4 linked regions of the Schizosaccharomyces pombe genome follow. The gene in region 4 interacts genetically with the main gene of each other region. Each region holds a gene or a part of one and is shown on either strand. Other genes may lie near its edges. The genes, in order: rga8, rho2, rho1 and rga7.

Region 1 (6,225 bases), on a different chromosome or scaffold from region 4:
AAAATACAAGGTGATGCTTCTAACTAAAAAAGTTTTATGGTACTTTAGACATGGAATTGAATATCAAATTCGTAGCATTGCTTGCAAAAAAGGATACTCTGAGCATAACGTTTCAAGAGTACTTATTGAAAAAGCCCGATCGCTTTCTTCAGAGTATCTTCAATTCCATCAAGTAAATAATAAAGTAAGTGTCGGCAAACAAAGTGTGAAATCAGCCTGCTACTGTTCGAGATACAATAATAATGGTAATACAAGCATACCGGACATTAAGCTTTACTCATGAAAAATTAAAATCTGATATAAATGATCTAACTTATATCTTTTAGGATCAATCGGCAATGACAAACGATACAGATTTAGCAAAGCGAATCGCTAGGCTTCGACGCGTTCATAATGCATATTCGAAATTTAAAAGTTTGTCTGAGGTATGATATAAGACGAATTTGTCTCAAACTTGTAGTCAAAAGCTTTCCTTTTTTTTATTACTCTTCCTATTTATAGTAATCGATTTACAATGGTTTTTTTTTGCTAATGGGTCTATAACTTAAGACTTTTGCCAGGCATTTACTGTTTATCTAAGTAAAGCTATTTGATGAGCATGTTGAAATACTTAAATAACTAGTTTTTGAAAACCTTGATTTAAAAAAATTCTAACAATTTAGCAAATAAGCGATTTGAAACAAATGGAGGCCCAAGAGTCAGATGCAGAGGTTAAAATGATGGCAGTGACTGAAATAAACGAAATAAGTAATAAAATACCAAAAAGCATAGAAGATCTTGAAAACACATTACTTCCACAAGCTGATTCATATGCTCTTCCTGCATTAATCGAAATTCGTCCTGGTGTAGGAGGAACAGAGGCCGCAATATTTGCAAATGAACTAGTGGAAATGTATTTTCAGTATGCAAATTTTAAAGGATGGAATTGCAAATTTATATCAAAAAGTGCAGTCCAAGGACTTGAAGCGATAACGGAGGCCATCTTCTCTATTGAAGGTGAGGGAGCTTATGGTCATCTTATGTTGGAAGGAGGTGTTCATAGGGTTCAGAGGACTCCTGCTACCGAAACTAAAGGAAGAGTTCATACGAGTACTGCATCAGTAATCGTTTTACCTCAGGTGTCAAATGATGAATCCTCTTCTCTTTACGATTCATCTGAAGTTAAAATCGAAGTAATGAGATCTCGTGGAGCCGGTGGACAACACGTTAATAGAACAGAATCCGCCGTACGTTTAACACACATACCCACTGGTATCACTGTTAGCATGCAAGATTCTCGTTCTCAGCATCAAAACAAAGAAAAGGCATTTCTTGTACTGAATTCAAGATTGGCTGCCTTAAATGCCGCAAAAGAAAATGAGGCTGAAAGACTGAAACGTAAAAATCAAGTAACGTCTTCAGATCGTTCGGAAAAGCTACGAACTTATAACTTCAACCAAAATCGAGTAACTGATCATCGGATAGGTTTAAGCATGCACGATTTATCAACATTTATGCAAGGTGAAGAAAAATTTGACGAGTTTTTGGAAAAAATAAGAATATGGAATCGTGAACAGTTGCTATTACACTCTGAAATAGTATAGGAATGCTAATTTAGTCTAGTAAAATAGGAAGGTACAATAATATATGGTGGTCAAACTTCTATAGAGAAAAATGTTTATTAGGTATATGCAATGAATAATGAGAAAAGAATGTGCAACATGTCATGCAAATAAGATATCCATAACTGATCTTTAAAAAAGATCATAGGTTAACTCATAATAACATATTTTTAACTACCACTTAAACTGGAATCTCTTGAGGCGACTGCTTCGTTCACTATCTTTGCATCCTGATCAATAAAGATTGCGGCACTTTCATTGGAAGCAGAAGAATGGCTGAAATTACGTCTTGTCTTTCTAGTATTCAAGGCATACGACGATCTGATCAATGAGGTGGGCACATTTTCAAGAGTAAATTCAGATTCAGCGGGAATTTCTGAAGGTTGCAGCTCCTCAAACGAAGATCTTGGAGATTCGACAGCAGTATGAGATCGGACAGAAGAAATGGAGTCTGGTCTAGTTGGTGATACATCTGTACTCCGAGGAGTAGCAGAAGATTGATATAATACACGGTCAGAAACACGTTTGGATGAATTCAATTTTCTGAGTTCTTCAAAAATACTTGGTCCGTAAGTTAAAAGATCCTCCATGAACTTCGTTGGGTGCTTATCATGTTGAATACCCAAATTCCATGTTGCTGGACGGGAAATGCATAAAGATAAGGAGTTAGCTAAATTTATAGTAAAAGTTTCTTTATTTGGAGTAAGCGTAATCAAGCGATTTAGATGAGTAATGATGGCACTCAAAGTAGCAAGATTAACACGTCGAAGTTGGGATAAAAGATTTTGTAAAAGTCTCAACCTGTACGGCGTATCATTACTATGATTCATGTAAATTGAACGAATAAGCTCAAAAGCAGAAGAAGGAACGATGGAATCAGGGAGTTCAAGAAAGTATAGCTTCAAAACTCCTATCACAACGGAGGGAGTATACTGTGATAAAACCTCCTTTGTCACGGATGAAGAATGATTCAACGCTTCTCGAAGTTGATGTACAGAAGACAAGGGAGAATTAACAAGCCATATATTTTGACGAACTTCATCAGAGGCAAGCGTAGGATATAACAGATCTAAATAAGAAAGGATCGTACTAACGATTATGGGAACACGTTTCTTATCTCTATGAGACAAAAACTCAACGTCCACTCCAAAAATCTGATCTTTAATATCATTATAATAATCCTCATATATTTCGACACGAGGTAAAAATGGACCAGTAGCTGCAGACTCTAAAATATACCTAATGTCACTCTCAGGTTGAATTATTTCCTGATAAACAACAATCTGATCAGCCAGCAATTTCATGGAAGGCAAAAAGTTCGAAATAATTGTTGATAAATCCATAAAAAAATCTTTATAATAAAGAACGCGATCGGTTTCACATTTTTGAAGAAATTGCAAATGATCAGCAATAGTTTCTTCCACAAGTGTGCGGCATTTATCAAGATCAACGACTGATTCGCTGTAAATTTTATTTGCATCCAGAACTTCTCTTTTAAGACGTTGAGATTGAGTTTCTGAAGAGTAAAGCTTTCGATGACTTATATAATCAGAAAGATATTCACCAACTAATGGTAAAGCCTTGGCGTTTTCGACAAGACTATCTACACTATTCAGTCCTGCAAACTGGAAAGCCTTGTCTTTCCACTGATAATGGAAGTTGGTACTATTCACAAAACTACCTCCAACGCCCATATGACGCAAAAATCCTTGAGCTATCAAATCTTGTCCAAATGCCTCGGCTGCAACTAAAGTTGGAACAGGAAGATTTTCCTGAAGCCAAGAAACAATAATATTTCCTGAACATGTATTAGGGTAAGTACCTAAGATAGGGACGCGATAATCCTGTAAGGGTATTTCTTGTAATACTTGAGCCAAAACCTCTTTTAACTCCTCAGGCCTAAACTCCATAAAACCAAGTTGAATCAGATCATCATCATTTTCCAACAATGATTGCTGCTGTGGACTAGAAACTGTTGTTAAGTCAGTAATAGCCTCACTAGTAGTTTCATTGGACTCCTTTGATTCTTCTTCATAATCTTCAAGGTTTCTACATTTGTTGTAGTAAGCGCTTTTTGTTTTTTTAAGTGTATAGTATTTCTTTTCATAACTCTTTATTTGATTGGTAAGAACTTGTTGGCTGGTTTGTAACTTCTGAGAATGATCAATAGACATTTTAGAGAAAGGAGCAATAATTAGCGTTTCTAAGTCCTTGGCAATACGAATATGTTGCTTTCCTTGATTAGCAATCTCGGAGCGCAACCCTTCAAAAGCCTTGTTAGAAGTAGCACCGTCTTCTGTATTCTCTGGCTTTTTCCCTTTTAGACATTCTTTCGTTATTTCTTGAAGCTTTTCACCAAATTCCTCATTCGCTTCTTTATATAACTTCAACAAGTTTTTTACTATTCGTTGTTAGAGGAAGTCCTATATTAATTTATTTAAATACCTTGCTCATTCTCTTCAACTCCATTATCCAGGCAATCGAAAAGTTTTTTCACACCAGTCGCGTAGTCTTTACTCCAAAAACCATTTGAAAAGCTCGATATCATTTCAATTCGAGACTGAAACTGTCACAACCTGTCAAGAAATATAGAGGTGGTTGACATGTCTACGCCCTTTATTACTCAACTTAAGTAAATAGCGAATTGCTACGCAGAAAAGTTTTACCCATCAAGGATGCCAAAAGTATCCAGTAAATAAGACAACAGATACGTTACTTGACACACATAAGATAGCATACCACTAATCCTTTATAAAATGTAAACTTCATTCAGTTGAATAGCAGCCTACGCTTTTACCCACTTTGTATTATTAATGCTATGGTTGGATCGATGGTACAATTAAAAACTACAAAATTTTAATTAATAGCTTACTGAGAAACCTTGCGTTTGCACGATGAGGTTTTGAAAAGAGAGAGTAGCGTACTTTATTGTTATAATGCCTACATGAAAACGAAAGAGAGCGTCCCGACGTTATTAAAACTATAATATCGTAAAAATGTATCACTAATGATGACAGGGTAGTTTTCATATCGATTTAGTGCGAGGATAAGGAAGTTTGAAATTGCATAATACATTCTTTTGACATTTGAAATGCTACCAAATAGTCATTTAAAACGCTAAAATATTTACAATTTCATAAAACAATAAAGCACTTAAAATTTAAAATGTCTAGCAAATTTCATGGTTATTCGTTACTCGTCAGATAAAACAAAAACGTTTAACACGGGCATGAAAAGAGAAAGGCGGAACCAAAGTTAGAAACCAATACCATAAGCGTATTGCAAATGCATTCAAATTAGGGGAAATTCCCTTAATTACGACGCTTCCAAGCAATTTTAACAGGACCCAAGGGAAGAGCAACCATACTGGAATAGTCAACGTTGGGAACTTTTCCAATAAGAGTCCAGGTGTAATCGTGTACAAACTTGCTAATAATAGTGCTCAAATGCATGTAGGCAAATTGCTCACCAATGCAACGATGACGACCAGCTCCAAAGGGTAGGTATGGAGAAGCAGCACCCTTTGTAACGAGACCATAACCATAATCAATTTGCTCAGCATTTTCGTCTTCATTGACGCGGTCATTCCAGCGCTTGGGGTCAAAGTCAGTAGCATGAGTGAAGTATTCCTCTTCAGTAGCAGTTAAACCGGGAGCAGCAAGAAGATAGTTGTTGGCAGGGATAACAATCTTTGAACCAGGGACGGGTAAGTCACGTTTGACTTTACGCATATGACTGTGGATAGGGGGATGGAGTCTAAGAGTTTCTTGAATAACATAGTTGAGAAGAGGCATGTCCTTATATTGGTCAAACTTCAATTCCAAGTTTTCACCTACAACACGCTTCTGCTCTTCCCACAACATTTCAATGATTTCAGGTTTGCTACCCAAAAGAGCAAGAACCCAAACGATAGTGGCAGCAGAGGTGTGTTGACCAGCCATCAAAAGTGCAATCATCATACCAGCAATTTCATGTTCCTTCAAAGGACGGCCATCTCTATACTTGCAGCTCATCAAAGTCCAAATCATATCAGTACCAGGATTTTCAGTGCTAGAGCGACGATCTTTAATAATTTTAAGATAAGTTTTTTGCATAATTTTGTGGGCTCTATCACGGCGTCTGTTTCTAGGGAGAGGTAACCAAGGGAAAACAAAGTTAACAGGGCTAAATCCTTGATCAAGGTCATGGTACAAGTCAGCGAAACCAGCGTCAAAGCCCTTGCGAACCTCAGCACCTTGTAAAGTACGAGAAGCAGTGTAAATAGTCATGACAGGCATGGTCTTCAGCAAATCAGCAACGCCTTCCTTACCAGGTCCGAAGTCAGGAGAAGTGCTGAGAAAAGCATCCATTTCGTTAAGAATGAGGGGGACATAAGAGCGGAATTGAGAGAAGCCAAGACCAGATTTGATAAACTTCTTGTGCTCCATAAAAACATGGTTGGGAATATCGTAAACGACATCTTTACCGAATACAGGGGTAGTTAAATGAGAGTAAGCTTCTTCAGCATTCAAATCAGCTAATTTACCGTTAAAGAGGAAATCATTACCTTGGACACCAAGGAAAGCGGTCATTTTACGACCCATGCAAACAAAGGTGAAAACATCACCATATTTGGCACGACACT
Region 2 (4,084 bases), on a different chromosome or scaffold from region 4:
GTTATATCATCATTGAGAGATTTTGATGGTACGTTGTTCAGAGGAATCGATAAAAGCTTAGGTGAATCGGAGATGATTCCTTTCTGGGACTTGTCTGAACCTTCGTCTGAAGCGTTTACAGACTCGGTATTTGCAAGGTTACGTTGAATATTAGCATATTGTTCTAATTCTTCATAGTAAGCATCATACAGTACTTCCAACTCTTCCTCAATTGCTAAACGTTTCCTTCCACACACCGAACAAGAGCATGAGTATTTTTGTTGCTCTTTCATTTTTTGCAAAACAGCTTCTTTTTCGACTTTAACTAACGACCTGCGTTCACTTTCACTTAAGGAAAGCCAAAATTCCCGAATTTGCTCCCGCTCCTCAGTATTCGAACTGCTCCAAATATCTTTGGATTTATTATTGTTAACGTTATTATTCATACTGGCTTGACGCACAGAACCGTTGTAATAAGAAAGCGCTTGCCCATTCCTATAAGTAATAGCAACGTCCGTAGAATAAACTTGTTCAAAATCTCTTTGATCATCCACATTCAACGATGCACTATTTGCTTTTGACTTCTTCTTCTTTTTCTTTTTCCGTTTAGATGAAGTTGACGAACCTAACGCTACTGTATTCAAATTCATATTATTTTGAACGGAGTTCGGTGACATATTGGACGACGTCGCGTCTTCCAAACCAGGTATATGAACTGGAAACTCGGCTTCATCCACGAAACTGGAGGTAGAAAGAATACATTGGGGAGAATGTTCTATGGTATCGTCAGATTCAAGAGTGAATTGCCAATCCGTCGAAGATATTCCTTCGACGTTAATCAACGATGAATCATCACCATTTGCCGAGACCAGCTGCGGATGAGAAATACGAGAATTCAAATTTGAAAGTTCCAAAGACGCTTGATGATCTATGACACCATTATTCGCGCCAACGTCTGTAACTGCAGAATCGGTCCCTGCCGACCCAAGCAAATCCACGTTTGCTTGAGTCTCGACATTTTTCTTGGCTTTCGGTTTTTTCTTCTTTTTATTCTTTTTCTTTGTACCAGAGTTGGGAATAGGTATAAGAAGATCCTTGAAACTTGGAGGTTCTAACCCTACACTGAGTGCTTCGGTGCGAAGAGCTTTATCATTCATGTTTTCTTTTTAAAAATCGCCTACCAACAACGCCTCTTTTTTTATGAGCTTAAAATATGAAACTAACGATTTAAAAAAAAAATAATTTAAATTATTTTTTTTATTCAAATTGTAGCTCACGGGTCTGCGTTGGCAATGTTTTAAGGGTAATCCCTAAAATTCTTAAATGCCGAACTGCCCACCTTTTCTTAGTTCAATATTCAAAAACAGTATACCCCAAAGTACTTGAAATAGTATATCTTCTTAGGGATTTCAACCCAGATGATCCAAATCACAAAGATTTTTGGATTTAACTAGTTCAATTGCTGCTTTGCAGAATGTGGTGAATAAAGCCAAACGGCAAATGGCGTTTTATCATATTTAATGCATCTTAACGTGCAAAATTAGTTCTTTAAGGCATGTTAAGGTGCAATAAGGAAGCGTACGATTCCAATAAATTGAATTTACGATACTTAACACCAAAAGTGTCTATAATCCGCATGGGATAAATGTCACCAAAACCACATTTCTTGAACAAATACTCTTTGAGAAGCTAATTTTTGTGCATATACTACTTTTCGTTGCTCTAATTGAAAGGCTTGGACGTTTGGCTAATCGCTTCATTTGACTATTTCGACAATCGCTTACTCATTTCTTATATTTCAAAAATTCACACCTATTTGGTTTAATTTTTACAGCTTTTCGAACCGGGAAATTTTGGTTGTCTGATCTGCAGTGAATCATTCTTTAAGAAAAATTTGCATAGAAAAAACCTCATACAGTGTTTAATCCGCTCCCTATTAAAAAGTACATGTTGCAATCTCAACCGATTAGAAGGTACGATTCTATGGCCTAATATCTTTTTGCTTCTTTTATTTCTTCTACTCAAATTCATTTTCTTTAAATATTAATATTTTTAAGGAAACTAGTAGTTGTAGGCGATGGTGCCTGCGGGAAGACGTCTTTGTTATCCGTTTTCACTTTGGGATATTTTCCTACTGTAAGTACAGATGTCATAAAAGTGAGCTTTGGCTTATCGCATATTGCACGATACGCAAATACTTATTGTCTTTTCTACCTTATTTATTTATTTATTTACTAACTTACTGGCGATAGGAATATGTAATGCTTTTTTCTCTTTATTTCGTAGAGTTTTTTAATAACAGTTACTATAGGTTCCGACTGTGTTTGAAAACTATGTTTCAGATTGTCGAGTATGTGTGATTAACAAGTTATTGAGCTTTTTCAGTTGGTTACAGAAAGTTACTTTCCCACTGGTCCCTTTTCTTTGGGTTTTGCTAATACATTTGATACTAACTAAAATAGGTTGATGGAAAATCAGTTCAACTGGCATTGTGGGATACCGCGTAAGTACTTTTTTTTCTGATGTTAAAACTATATGTTATGTATTCCTGCATACTAATTCTTGTTTTAGAGGTCAAGAGGAATATGAGGTTTGTTTCGTTATTAATAGTGAGAAATACGTCGTTAACCCAATGCAGAGATTAAGACCAATGTCTTACGCTAAAGCACACATTATTTTGGTTGGGTTTGCGATAGACTCTCCTGATTCACTTGAAAATGTTTCTACGAAGGTTCGTTTCATTAATTGTTTTTTCCAGTCATTAACATTATATAGTGGATTGAGGAAATTAATACACTTTGCCCAAATGTTCCGTTTATTTTAGTGGGCATGAAAGCCGACTTAAGGTCAGATCCCGTTGCTATTGAAGAAATGCGACGTCGAAATCAAAATTTTGTAAAATCACAACAGGTATATATTAATAATTCAAACACGTGAATACTAATTCTTGATATCAGGCTGAATTAGTAGCTCAGCGGATTGGTGCGAGAAAGTATATGGAATGTTCTTCATTGACTGGTGACGGCGTGGACGATGTATTTGAAGCTGCTACTAGGGCAGCACTAACAGTTCGGGATTCGGAAAATGACAAGAGTTCTACAAAATGCTGCATCATTTCATAATTACTAATATCCTAACGATTGCAAACATTCATGTTTCAGTTTATAGGAAAGCCTATCAGTTTATGCGACCTACATTTACAAAAAGCTGATAGACTTTTTTGCTTTTCTTCGCATTTGTTCTTTGCCGTTGTTTCATTTCGTTTTCACTTTCACTTCTGTCGTTTACTTTTTTCTTTTTCTCCCCTATACCTCAAATTTAGTTCCTATTTTATTTTGAGACTCAGGAGTATTATTATTATTTTCATCATTATAATCTTCACGCATCGGTCGAACGACACTAGCCTCCTTTTTCATTTCATTAAGCAAACCGCATTCAGTTATTATTACCTTTTTTTTTTACTCTTAAACATCTTTCATTCTTTTTCAGCATCTATTGTCCTCATGAAAACTACTTTTTGTTTAAAAGATCATAGGACTTTATTTTTAGAACTGCCGCTTGCGCTCATTATGAAGTACAAAATTCATATATGTACATATGCTTTTGTTCTCTTAGGCTAATAGAAAATGTCAGTTTTCCTTATTGATACATTTAATACGTAGGCTCACTTCGCTAAGTAATTTTATGGGGCGGTCAAATTCAAAATTCTGGCTCATTTAAGCTAAATATTAAGACACCGCCAAAGGTATACAACCATATCAAAATTTATCACCTACTAAAGTTTCGAGCCTATTTTTTTCTGGGCATTAATGGGTTGGAAATCAAGACTGGCAAGAGTTAAAGTGGTCACTCTCATCAAACAACTATGTGAAATTATATACCCTTTAAACACCCATACTCCAACAACTAACTTTTCTTCGGGCGTTCACTTCATTAAGAACAACAACCAAAAAAAAACAACCAAAATCCATCCAAATGATAAAGAATGACAAATACGCGGCAAAAATCCGGAACTACACTAAAAATTACACATTCCTTTCATTCTTGATCGTAAGAAAGGAAATCGCCAATAAAGAGAGATAAATTCATACTCAAATACATCACA
Region 3 (4,237 bases), on a different chromosome or scaffold from region 4:
TGTTGGAGAAGATCATAACATACAATTGATAAAGTATTGTTTCCTTGATTTATAAATTGTAAAGCTAAGTTGAGTTAGCTTTTTTGTTAAGACCTCTCAACTTTTAGATTTAAGATTTTGATTCCCATTTCTGTTGTAATATGTAACCTTACTAATGCTTTACATTAAAGCATGAAGATTTCGACTCTGCATTTTACTTATAAGCACTATAAAAGGTACACATAGAGATAGACAAACAGCTTTTAGTAGCTACAAAAACTTTGTTCTTTTCCCTTTAATTCACTATTTGCTCCCTCGCAATTATCCTTTTTTTTAGGTAAAGTCAACAATGCTTATATCTTCATCTGATAATCTTGCCTGTAGACAGAGTGAAAATCAAATGGTAATACAAATGCATAGATAGAATAACAACGGTCACCTTCAAAACATGAAATTGCAAACATTGGTATGCTTGACGTAAAGAGAATGAGATATAAACAGTGTGCAAATTTCCGCAAAATACAAAATGTTTAAACCATCAACTACGGCTATCTGCTACTTCGACTATCAACGTGTATAAAAATACCAAGCGCCTGTATACCAGCAAGGTTATCAACAGAGATAATGTCGCTTCAATTTTCTACAATAATTCTAGTGCAAAATTGGAGACCCAGCTAAAGTTCCACGATAATAAGCAATTACGTGCTGTGAGAAAGCTTATAAAATATTCGGGTTTTGATCGAGTTTCAATCGAGGTGTATATTCTTTAAATTACCGATTTATAAAAATTTACCAAGTCCTTTGACTAGGTAGAAAGGATAATAATGATGGCAATCCTTAACAAAAGAAACAAGGTATTATAGGAAAAATAAAACCATGCAATAACAAGGCAATAAGGGAAATTTTCTTCAAACTAATAGCGAAGAGTATAGCAAAGTAAGCAAAGACTGAAAACAAGACGCATACTCCTTGCAGGTGCCTATACGTTGCAGAACAGTGAGGGGAAATGGTAGAACAGCTATATGAAATGCGCTTAAATCATTGCCAAGCTGACTAAATGGCACGACTTGAGGTAAGTAAAAAGGAAAGAATGAGAGGATATAATGACTATGTAACATGATAGGCCACACAATGCAAAACTCCCACCAAGGTGAAGGTGAAATAAAAATCAACATAAGTCGAAAAAATACGGAAACTTGTTGAATGTGCTTCGACTGAAGAGATGTATAAAAACAGAAAAGATAAATTCTCTAAGTTAAAAAATTTGGAAACAAGCTGTTTACAACAAGATACAACGCTTCTTCTTCTTAGTTCCACTAGAGGGCTTCACTTTGGGCTTGTGTTTGAGCATAGCAGCACGAGTGGCTGATTCAAAAACCTCACGAACACCTTCATTCGTCTTGGCAGAACACTCAAGGTATTTGTAAGCACCAATCTTCTGAGCTACTGCTTGACCTTCTTCTGTGGTGACGGGATGCTGATTAGTCTTGGATAACTCCTCAATAATTTTTGGGTCGTTACGGAGATCAGCCTTGCAAGCGACAAGCAAAATAGGAAGACTGGAACAGAAATGGAGAACCTCGGAAATCCATTTTTCTTGAACATTGTCAAGAGAATCGGGAGAATCAACAGCAAAGCAAATAAGGATAACATGTGAGTCAGGATATGACAAGGGACGTAGACGGTCGTAATCTTCTTGTCCAGCCGTATCCCAAAGAGCCAACTCAACGTGGCGTCCATCAACCTCAACATCAGCTACATAATTTTCAAAAACAGTGGGAACATAGACCTCGGGAAAGGTTCCTTTAGAAAATACACTATAAAGAAAAATGTTAGAAGTTGTATAACAATGACACAGACTCGTGAAACATTGCAGATAAGCAAGCAAAGAGTAAGTAGAAATACAGGGTACGGAGTGCAAATTAAATCCTCGGAACATTTATTAAATGTAATCTAAACCCCATCTAAGTCTCATTTCTATGGGGATTCTTTCATTATTTTCTTGAGGCAATGAACATGCTTACGGAAATAATTTTCTTCTCCAGCCATGCTAAGCAAGAGATGTAAACCCTTGCCAATTTAAAACAGGCCCAAGCAACTACTTTACCCTTCTACTACCTTTCCGACGCTTGCACCATTTTTACTTACATTAATAAGCATGTTTTACCACATGCACCATCTCCCACAATAACGAGCTTTCTGCGAAGTTCTGTCGCCATCCCTAGATTTGTTTACTTTCTCCTGCTCTAGACAGAAAAATTTCGACGTAAATAAACGTTTTTCGACTCAAATTCTGACACCGCTCTTTCCTTCGATGTGGCAGTGGTTAGCTATTTACTAGGCTGTCAGCGGCTCATGTAACAACGAAAGGAAAGAAGGAGACGCTACTACACTTCACTAAATCTCGTTACTTTGCCCTAGCGCTCTTATAGATGAACCCTTTGAGTATGTATGGACGAGGCTGAGCCTGTACAGAGTGTAAAGTGCAATTAAAACAGTTTTATTACAAAAAGATTGTCTCCACTCCGACTTGATGTCAACAGACGTTTTTTTGTTTGAATCACAAACGCCAAAAAAAGCAGAAACCAGCGGAAAAATTTCGTTAACGTATTCAGTTTAGTCATAATATTCGAAGATAACGGAACGCATTTAATCCGCTTATCCTATTTTAACGTACACACTTTATTTCAGTATTTTATAAATAATAAACATAGCAGGAATATAGAAACTTTTGGAAGAGACATAAAGAAGCAAAGCTTCGTATAAATAGCTATAATTATAATTGTATACTCATAAAATTAAACAGCATTCTATTTGTAAAATGCAAATGTGAGATGAATTCCTAAATTCAAAAAGCGGCAATTTTTGGTGCCGAAAAATAATTTTACATGTCAGATTGAAGTAATAAAGCAATATTACGATGCTCTTTCTTTCTATCGTCGTTTTGTTTGCTCTCTTATTTCTCGAGATCAATAAAATCCTACTTTAATTTTACTAAAATTATATCGCCCAAAAAAATATTGATCCGGTAGCAGATCTACAAATATACAAAAATGAAATGTAACTTTAGCCTCTTTTATTCTTCTTCATAGTTAAAATAAAACAGACGGTTTCAGTAGATCTATAACTTAGCTCTTAACTCACTACTTTGTCTCTTTTAACTTTTGCCATTGATTCATTTCAGTACTGGAGAACATAAGACCAATATATTAAACAGTTTGAACAGCGCGCCCTATAGATTTCCCACAAATTGAAAGAGAAAAAAGTCCTGAGTCGTTATTATTGAACATCTATCAAATTGGATACCGTATTATTGATCGCTGACATTTCATTTTGTAGTTGACAAGAAAAGAAAAAGCGGGTTGAGTAAACTTTACCTTTTAGTGCTTTAATCTTGTTTATAAAGTGAAAGTGGTTGAAAGCTGTGTGGCCTCTTAATTATACACATATATATTTACGCGGTTACTTTTTTTTTATAGTTTATAAATTAAACTGATAGCTTTCGATGATGCCATCATCAAGTTTCCAACAAACTCCCAAACCCGTCGATTTAGACGATCCAAGGTTTGAACAGTACGATTGCTTGCCATGCCGCTTGGTGGGCGCAGGCGCTTTCACAGGTCTAGGAATATATGCCTATTCGCAATCTAGAATTCCTTTGAATACACCCAATTACAAGCTTAAACGATTCGGTATTTTGGGAATGGCTTATGGATTTATTCTTACCGGTGTCTATAGATTGTTTCAATAAAATGTTAATAAACGTCGTTTTCTATTATCAGTTATCTTAAGACGTGAAGAAGTAACTTGAATCAGAAGTAAATGTTTTTTACTAAATTGCATTTTAATCAAACGGGTGAAGTTTTTTTGCTTTCTGATGCACATCCAACAAATATGCTTAAATGGTAACTAAACCTATACACTATAACAATTATGGAATAAAAGAAAAGAAGCAGAAATGAAGGGAAAATTCTGAAATATAATTAAAAAAAGAACCATAAATAAAAAAAAGGATGCGAATACACTAAATAGTTGACTTTTGTCTAAAAATAAGATTTAGACATTGATTGCTTATTGAACCTCCTCGTCGAGTTCATTGTAAGAATGCTTGTGTGAATTGTTTTAAAGGTCTTTTACCCCAAACTTTGTAGAAAATTATAGTTTAAAAAAATCTCAGAGACAACAATTGTATAATAATGAAAGAATGTGTAAGGTAGATGGAATGTAATATATATGTAATACGACACAACATTTTCCA
Region 4 (5,048 bases):
TGATCGTATCTTCAATGTAAGATGCTTATAGTGAGTTAGTAAAGTGAAGTAAAAAAAAAAAGAATAATAAGCAATTATACCTTTAATCACTTTATCTGACAATTCTACATCGGTAAGATCACTATAAATGCTTTTTATGTAATTATTTAACAAATCGGACAGCGTGTCTGGACTCTGGATGATTGAAGCGTTTGTGTCTTGTAGTTCTAACAATTTAGCTCTTTTCCTTTCCTTTTGTTTTTGGCGTTGTTTTTTTCTTTTTTCACGTTTCGCTGAATCGTTGTTTTGAGAAGCAGTAAAATTTTCAGTTATTGTAGTAGGTTGTGCAGATTCTTCATCCGAAACTGAAATTTCTGAAACTAAATCTACCTGATAATCAAGTTGATCATCCAAAGCATCAGCGTCTGTTGTCGTGTAGCTCATAATTGCATGTTTTAAAATTTTGGTGTTAGGGATACGTTCAGTTCGTGGACCGTCGAATAGTACAGGAAAAATGTAAAAAAAAATATAAATCTATCGTTTACAAAAATATAGAGTATTTGAAGGTCTATATAGAAGAAAAAAAAATAAAAGGAATTCATTTGGTTTATAAAATCGTAGATAATTTCCATTATTACGTTATGAAGGTTGTCTAAACTATGGATTAAAATTGTGAACGGAATTGACAGTAAAGAAAAGAATGAATTTGTAGACAAACAAAAGTTTAGGATAAAAACAAGGTAAGGAAAGGGATAAAAAGGGGAAAGAGGTGGAAGCATACAAAATCCAAGAAAGAGAGAATAGTGTCAAGTGTGCTTTATTGACGCAAAGGAAAAAAATATAAAAAGAGAAAAAAAAGATGGTAAGCAGTAAATAATACAGAAAATGATCTTTTAATCGTAGTCAAAAATTGTGAAACAATAGTCGATAAGAATTTCGATAGTTCTAGAGAAACTGCTAATTTCTGGGATAGTAGCTTGCTTAATGATAGTAGGTCCCCAAATAATGGCCAAATTGTTTGTCGACATTTTGTTTACATCGCTGTTTTCTTTAATTTTAGCAAGATGTATGGTTAAATGACGAATGGTAGAGTAGTTGGCATCGGGAAGATCGTTGATCGCACGATGGACGGCATCTCTTCTTCTGGATTCGTCTTCAACGTTACCTGCGTCGATAAAGTCTCTTTGATGATTGTCGGGAATTAACGGTTCACGTAGTTCACGGAAAAAGATTTTTAGTAGATCAGCGACTGCATGAACGTCGTTTTCATAGTCCTCAGGTGTATGTAATTGTAAGAGAGGATTATTCTCAAATTGAGAACGTAACATGTTGACACGGGCGGAAGAGCTGGGAACACGGTAGATGCCCTGGAGGTTGAGACCAAAATTTTCGACTTGGGAAGTGCATTGCATTACGATGTTTGGAATGTTGGAATGTTCTCGTAGAATGATTGCGTCTAATCGAGCACCAAAGAGTAACGATTTCGTAGGAGAGGAAGGTTGAGGGGAGACAGAAGTTGGTCGGAAGGGAGATGCAGCACGGTTTGAGTTGATGCTAGAAGGCGGTGGTGCGACTTCTCGAGACGTTTGAATCGTTGTCGTCTGGATGGGAGGTAAAGTAGGAAGTAGTACGGGAGGTGATTGTTGGGCAACAGGGGGCTTGTTTTCTGCATTAGAAGCGAGTGGAGAAGAGGTACGAGGATTGGAAGAAGAGGATGAAGAAGAACCGTTTGTGTCATTGGCGGTACTAGGTTTTAGGGTAGAAGCCAAAGGAGAGGCTGAAGCGGGAGCAGTAGAGGGATTGGAAGTAGATGAGTTTGGGAAGGCAGGGGAAGCCACAGAAGGGTTGGGAAAAGTGGATGGAGCAGGATTAGTGTTTTGTAGGGGAGAGGGAATAGCAGCAGTAACCTTGATGGTGGGGTTGACGGGTGGATTGGTTTTTCCGGCAGAGGAACCAGTTCCGTAAGAGCTTGGAGGTTGAATGATTTTTGTTTTAGAAGCGTCGGTTGGATTTTTGTTATCTTCATGCTTGATGGAGGCGTGAAGGACGTATTGAACAAAATCGGTATTTGCATTTATATTATCCAAAGCATGTTGTAAACCACAGTTGGTAGGAGTGGGCTTTTGTGGACGGATTGTGAGACCGTTGAGCAGGGTGTTTGACTCGCAGAGCTTTGTGTACCGTAGATAGTTTGCAATGAGTGAGCTTTCAATTTCGCGTTGAAGGGAAAAGAATTGCTTTATGTAGTTTGGTCGGTGAATACACAAAAGTTGTTTTTGAACGTTTTGAGCGTTTTCAATCTTACTGTGCATATCTGATTCTGCATTTTCGGCCTTAAGGCGAGCTTCATCTTCGAGTTTGGTGAGCTGAGCATTAGATTTTGGTTTAAAAAAACCAACCTTCTTCTGGGAGTCTCCAGTGTTTTTGTTGTCGAGAGCGCGGTTGTACTCGGTTTCGGCACCCTTAAAGCGAGATTTGGATTTATCCATTTGCATAACGGCTTCTAAATATGCGTTTTCTTGTTTTTTCGCATATTCCTTGATGGATTTTCGTTTGCGTTCTGCGTTTTTGTGAAATTCGATGACTTGATCGGAAAATGCAGAAAGAGTTTTTTGAAGGGTTAAACTGTGATTGGCAAGTTGTTCATGAATTTCCATACTCGTAATGACAGAGGCGGAAAAAGATTGGGGAGAGTGGTGTTTGGATTGAAACGTCTCTAGGTAGGATTTAGCAAGTTTTTGTAAATTTTTTCCACTTTCTTCTTCGAGAATGGAACGCTTTTTAAAGAATCCGGCGAGTTCTTTGCAAGTGAGGAGGTAGTCTTTAATGCGATCATTTAGGATTGCTAGACCAAGTTCCGAATTGAGGATCGCTTCGACTTTTGGTTCTTTGAGAACTGCGAAATCATCAGAGGAAGTGGTATTTGGAGGCGATGTTGGTGGGGAAGCGGGAGTGGTAGAGGAGGAGGGAGCCGACAGCATTGAAGGAGTTGAGTGATGGGCGGGAGCAAGAGAAGTAAATAGAGTGAGAGAATAGAAAGAGTAAAAATAACAAAAGAAGCGCGGTAAACGCGAAAATATATAAAATCACTTGAGCAAGCAAAGAATGATAGAGGAAAGAAGGGTGAATTCTTTGTTTGTAAGGAATTGGTAGTGGGTGGTTGGTTTGAGTAGTATAGCGAGTATAGAGGATGTAAACGAGGAAAGGGTAAGGAGAGGACGGTAGAGGAAGAGATAAAGAGGATTAAGGAGGTATGAGTAGTTCAAATTACGGAGATGTAACGAAGCTAAAAGTTTGGAATTGGGAGGTTGAGTGTGGGGGATGAAAATGAGTTTAAGATAGGAAGGTAAAGGAAAAGAATAAAATACAAATTGCGTTGTATAACGTTTCTGCCATACCCTTTTTAAGTGGGATGAAGTATAGTGAGGGAGGGTTGAAAAGGAAGGAAGAGTTGACTGTGGTATTCGAGGTAAGTGTCATACCCTTTCCAAGTGGGAGGTAGAGATACGTGGGGGTAAAGACTGAGGTGAGTAGGAAGGCGGTAAGGGGAAGAAGGGTATAAGGAGAAAGAGTTGATTGTGTTATTTAAGGAAAAGTGTCATACCCTTTCTAAGTGGGGGATAGCAAAATAAGGAGACAGAAAGTTGGTTGCGTTATTCGAGTAAAATGCCATACCCTTTCCAAATGGGGGAGAGGATTAGGTGAATGAAAAGAACAAATAAGTAGGATTATTCTATTGCAAGTTGTTTGTAATACTTTTTTTGTCATGAACGAATATGTAAAAACAATAATAAATCCTTAGAGCCTACTGTTAATATAATAACATTATGTTTATTCTATGACTACAGGTTTGTCAACATGTTTTATTGCGACTGTTTAATTTTTGTATTTGTTATACCGATATATTTTTAATCAGTATTATATTTTCTTAAATAACTTAATAACGAACTTGACAATGAAACGTTCCTAATTCTCATTAGACGGGAATTCTTTAGGGGACCCCACATTAAGTGGGATGAGTGCTTGCTTTGTTGTAGTAGCTATGGTAACTATTTCTTTGTTTGGGTAGGAACAAAGAAAGAGAAAGGAGAGAAAATAGTGGGTTAGCCGTGAAAGGAAAAGAGAGTGAGAAGAAGGGTAGGAAAAGAAGAGAGAGTAGTTGAAGGAAAAATATTGGAAGAGGTAGTATTTTTCTGTATGCATATGCATATGCATTTGTATAGCATACAACCTTTAATTTAATAGCCATACAACCTAATAGCCAGAAACGCCTTCCCAATTTACTGAACCCTGCTTATATGTAGTTTATAATTGTTGTGTCTTTTTTTTACGTTTAAGTTGTAATTTGATGTTAGAATTTATTACAATGGATGCAAGTTTTAACTCAATTTGATCACATAGGATTTGAATTGTAAAAAGGTCTTCTGCTGACATTATTAGTATGTATTGTGCTTTAGATTAAATTATTGTGTTTTAGTGTATTTTGTTCCTTTGTTTTTGGGTTTCTTTGTTCTGTAAGTAGTTAAATACCCTCCACACTCTACACCTACCTTGCACTCACAACTACAATGGACTCACACCAAGAATTATCAGCGGGTTCCCCTATTTCCTACGACTTTTTAGATCCAGACTGGTGTTTTAAAAGATACCTTACAAAGGATGCTCTTCATTCAATTGAAACTGGCAAAGGTGCTGCTTACTTTGTTCCTGATGGCTTTACTCCTATACTCATTCCTAACTCACAAAGCTACCTGTTGGATGGGAATTCTGCACAACTGCCAAGACCTCAACCAATATCCTTCACATTGGATCAATGTAAAGTTCCCGGCTATATTTTGAAGAGTTTACGGAAAGACACTACGTCTACTGAACGTACTCCGAGACCCCCTAATGCTTTTATATTATACAGGAAGGAAAAACATGCTACATTATTAAAGTCTAACCCTTCCATCAATAATTCACAAGTTTCCAAGCTGGTTGGAGAGATGTGGAGAAACGAATCAAAGGAAGTACGTATGCGATATTTTAAGATGTCTGAGTTTTATAAAGCACAACATCAGAAAATGTAC

Evidence for each region.
Region 1: mutations in rga7 (region 4) and rga8 are lethal when combined (synthetic lethality), as found in Schizosaccharomyces pombe (one study listed by BioGRID).
Region 2: of rga7 (region 4) and rho2, changing one suppresses a phenotype caused by changing the other (phenotypic suppression), as found in Schizosaccharomyces pombe (one study listed by BioGRID).
Region 3: mutations in rga7 (region 4) and rho1 are lethal when combined (synthetic lethality), as found in Schizosaccharomyces pombe (one study listed by BioGRID).

The regions. Positions count from the first base shown.
Region 1 is NC_003424.3:570,223-576,447, forward strand, and holds rga8 (putatiRho-type GTPase-activating protein Rga8), read right to left. Parts: upstream 4,202-6,225; 5' UTR 4,150-4,201; coding exon 4,047-4,149; intron 4,003-4,046; coding exon 1,772-4,002; 3' UTR 1,584-1,771; coding exon of another isoform or gene 663-1,583; 3' UTR 531-662; downstream 1-530. Other genes in the region: mrf1 (peptide chain release factor), read left to right, coding at 14-184, 327-425, 663-1,583; erg11 (sterol 14-demethylase), read right to left, coding at 4,913-6,225. UniProt on the Schizosaccharomyces pombe protein: Acts in signal transduction. Negatively regulates the pak1/shk1 control pathway.
Region 2 is NC_003424.3:4,421,076-4,425,159, forward strand, and holds rho2 (Rho family GTPase Rho2), read left to right. Parts: upstream 1-1,615; 5' UTR 1,616-1,926; coding exon 1,927-1,952; intron 1,953-2,036; coding exon 2,037-2,115; intron 2,116-2,231; coding exon 2,232-2,237; intron 2,238-2,290; coding exon 2,291-2,329; intron 2,330-2,441; coding exon 2,442-2,482; intron 2,483-2,550; coding exon 2,551-2,569; exon of another isoform or gene 2,570-2,617; coding exon 2,618-2,710; exon of another isoform or gene 2,711-2,754; coding exon 2,755-2,889; exon of another isoform or gene 2,890-2,936; coding exon 2,937-3,101; 3' UTR 3,102-3,571; downstream 3,572-4,084. Other genes in the region: protein nst1, read right to left, coding at 1-1,136. UniProt on the Schizosaccharomyces pombe protein: Involved in cell morphogenesis, the maintenance of growth direction, control of polarity and of cell wall integrity. Regulates the synthesis of alpha-D-glucan through activation of pck2.
Region 3 is NC_003424.3:4,222,141-4,226,377, reverse strand, and holds rho1 (Rho family GTPase Rho1), read right to left. Parts: upstream 2,308-4,237; 5' UTR 2,199-2,307; coding exon 2,128-2,198; exon of another isoform or gene 2,056-2,127; intron 1,893-2,055; exon of another isoform or gene 1,797-1,892; coding exon 1,259-1,796; 3' UTR 554-1,258; downstream 1-553. Other genes in the region: protein tam6, read left to right, coding at 3,485-3,730. UniProt on the Schizosaccharomyces pombe protein: Involved in the regulation of cell wall growth and actin cytoskeleton organization. Activates (1,3)-beta-D-glucan synthase.
Region 4 is NC_003423.3:2,109,935-2,114,982, forward strand, and holds rga7 (Rho-type GTPase-activating protein Rga7), read right to left. Parts: upstream 3,142-5,048; 5' UTR 2,961-3,141; coding exon 873-2,960; 3' UTR 551-872; downstream 1-550. Other genes in the region: cms1 (U3-containing 90S preribosome complex subunit), read right to left, coding at 1-24, 81-423; mat1-Mi (M-specific transcription factor Mi), read right to left, coding at 4,285-4,413; mat1-Mc (M-specific transcription factor Mc), read left to right, coding at 4,548-5,048.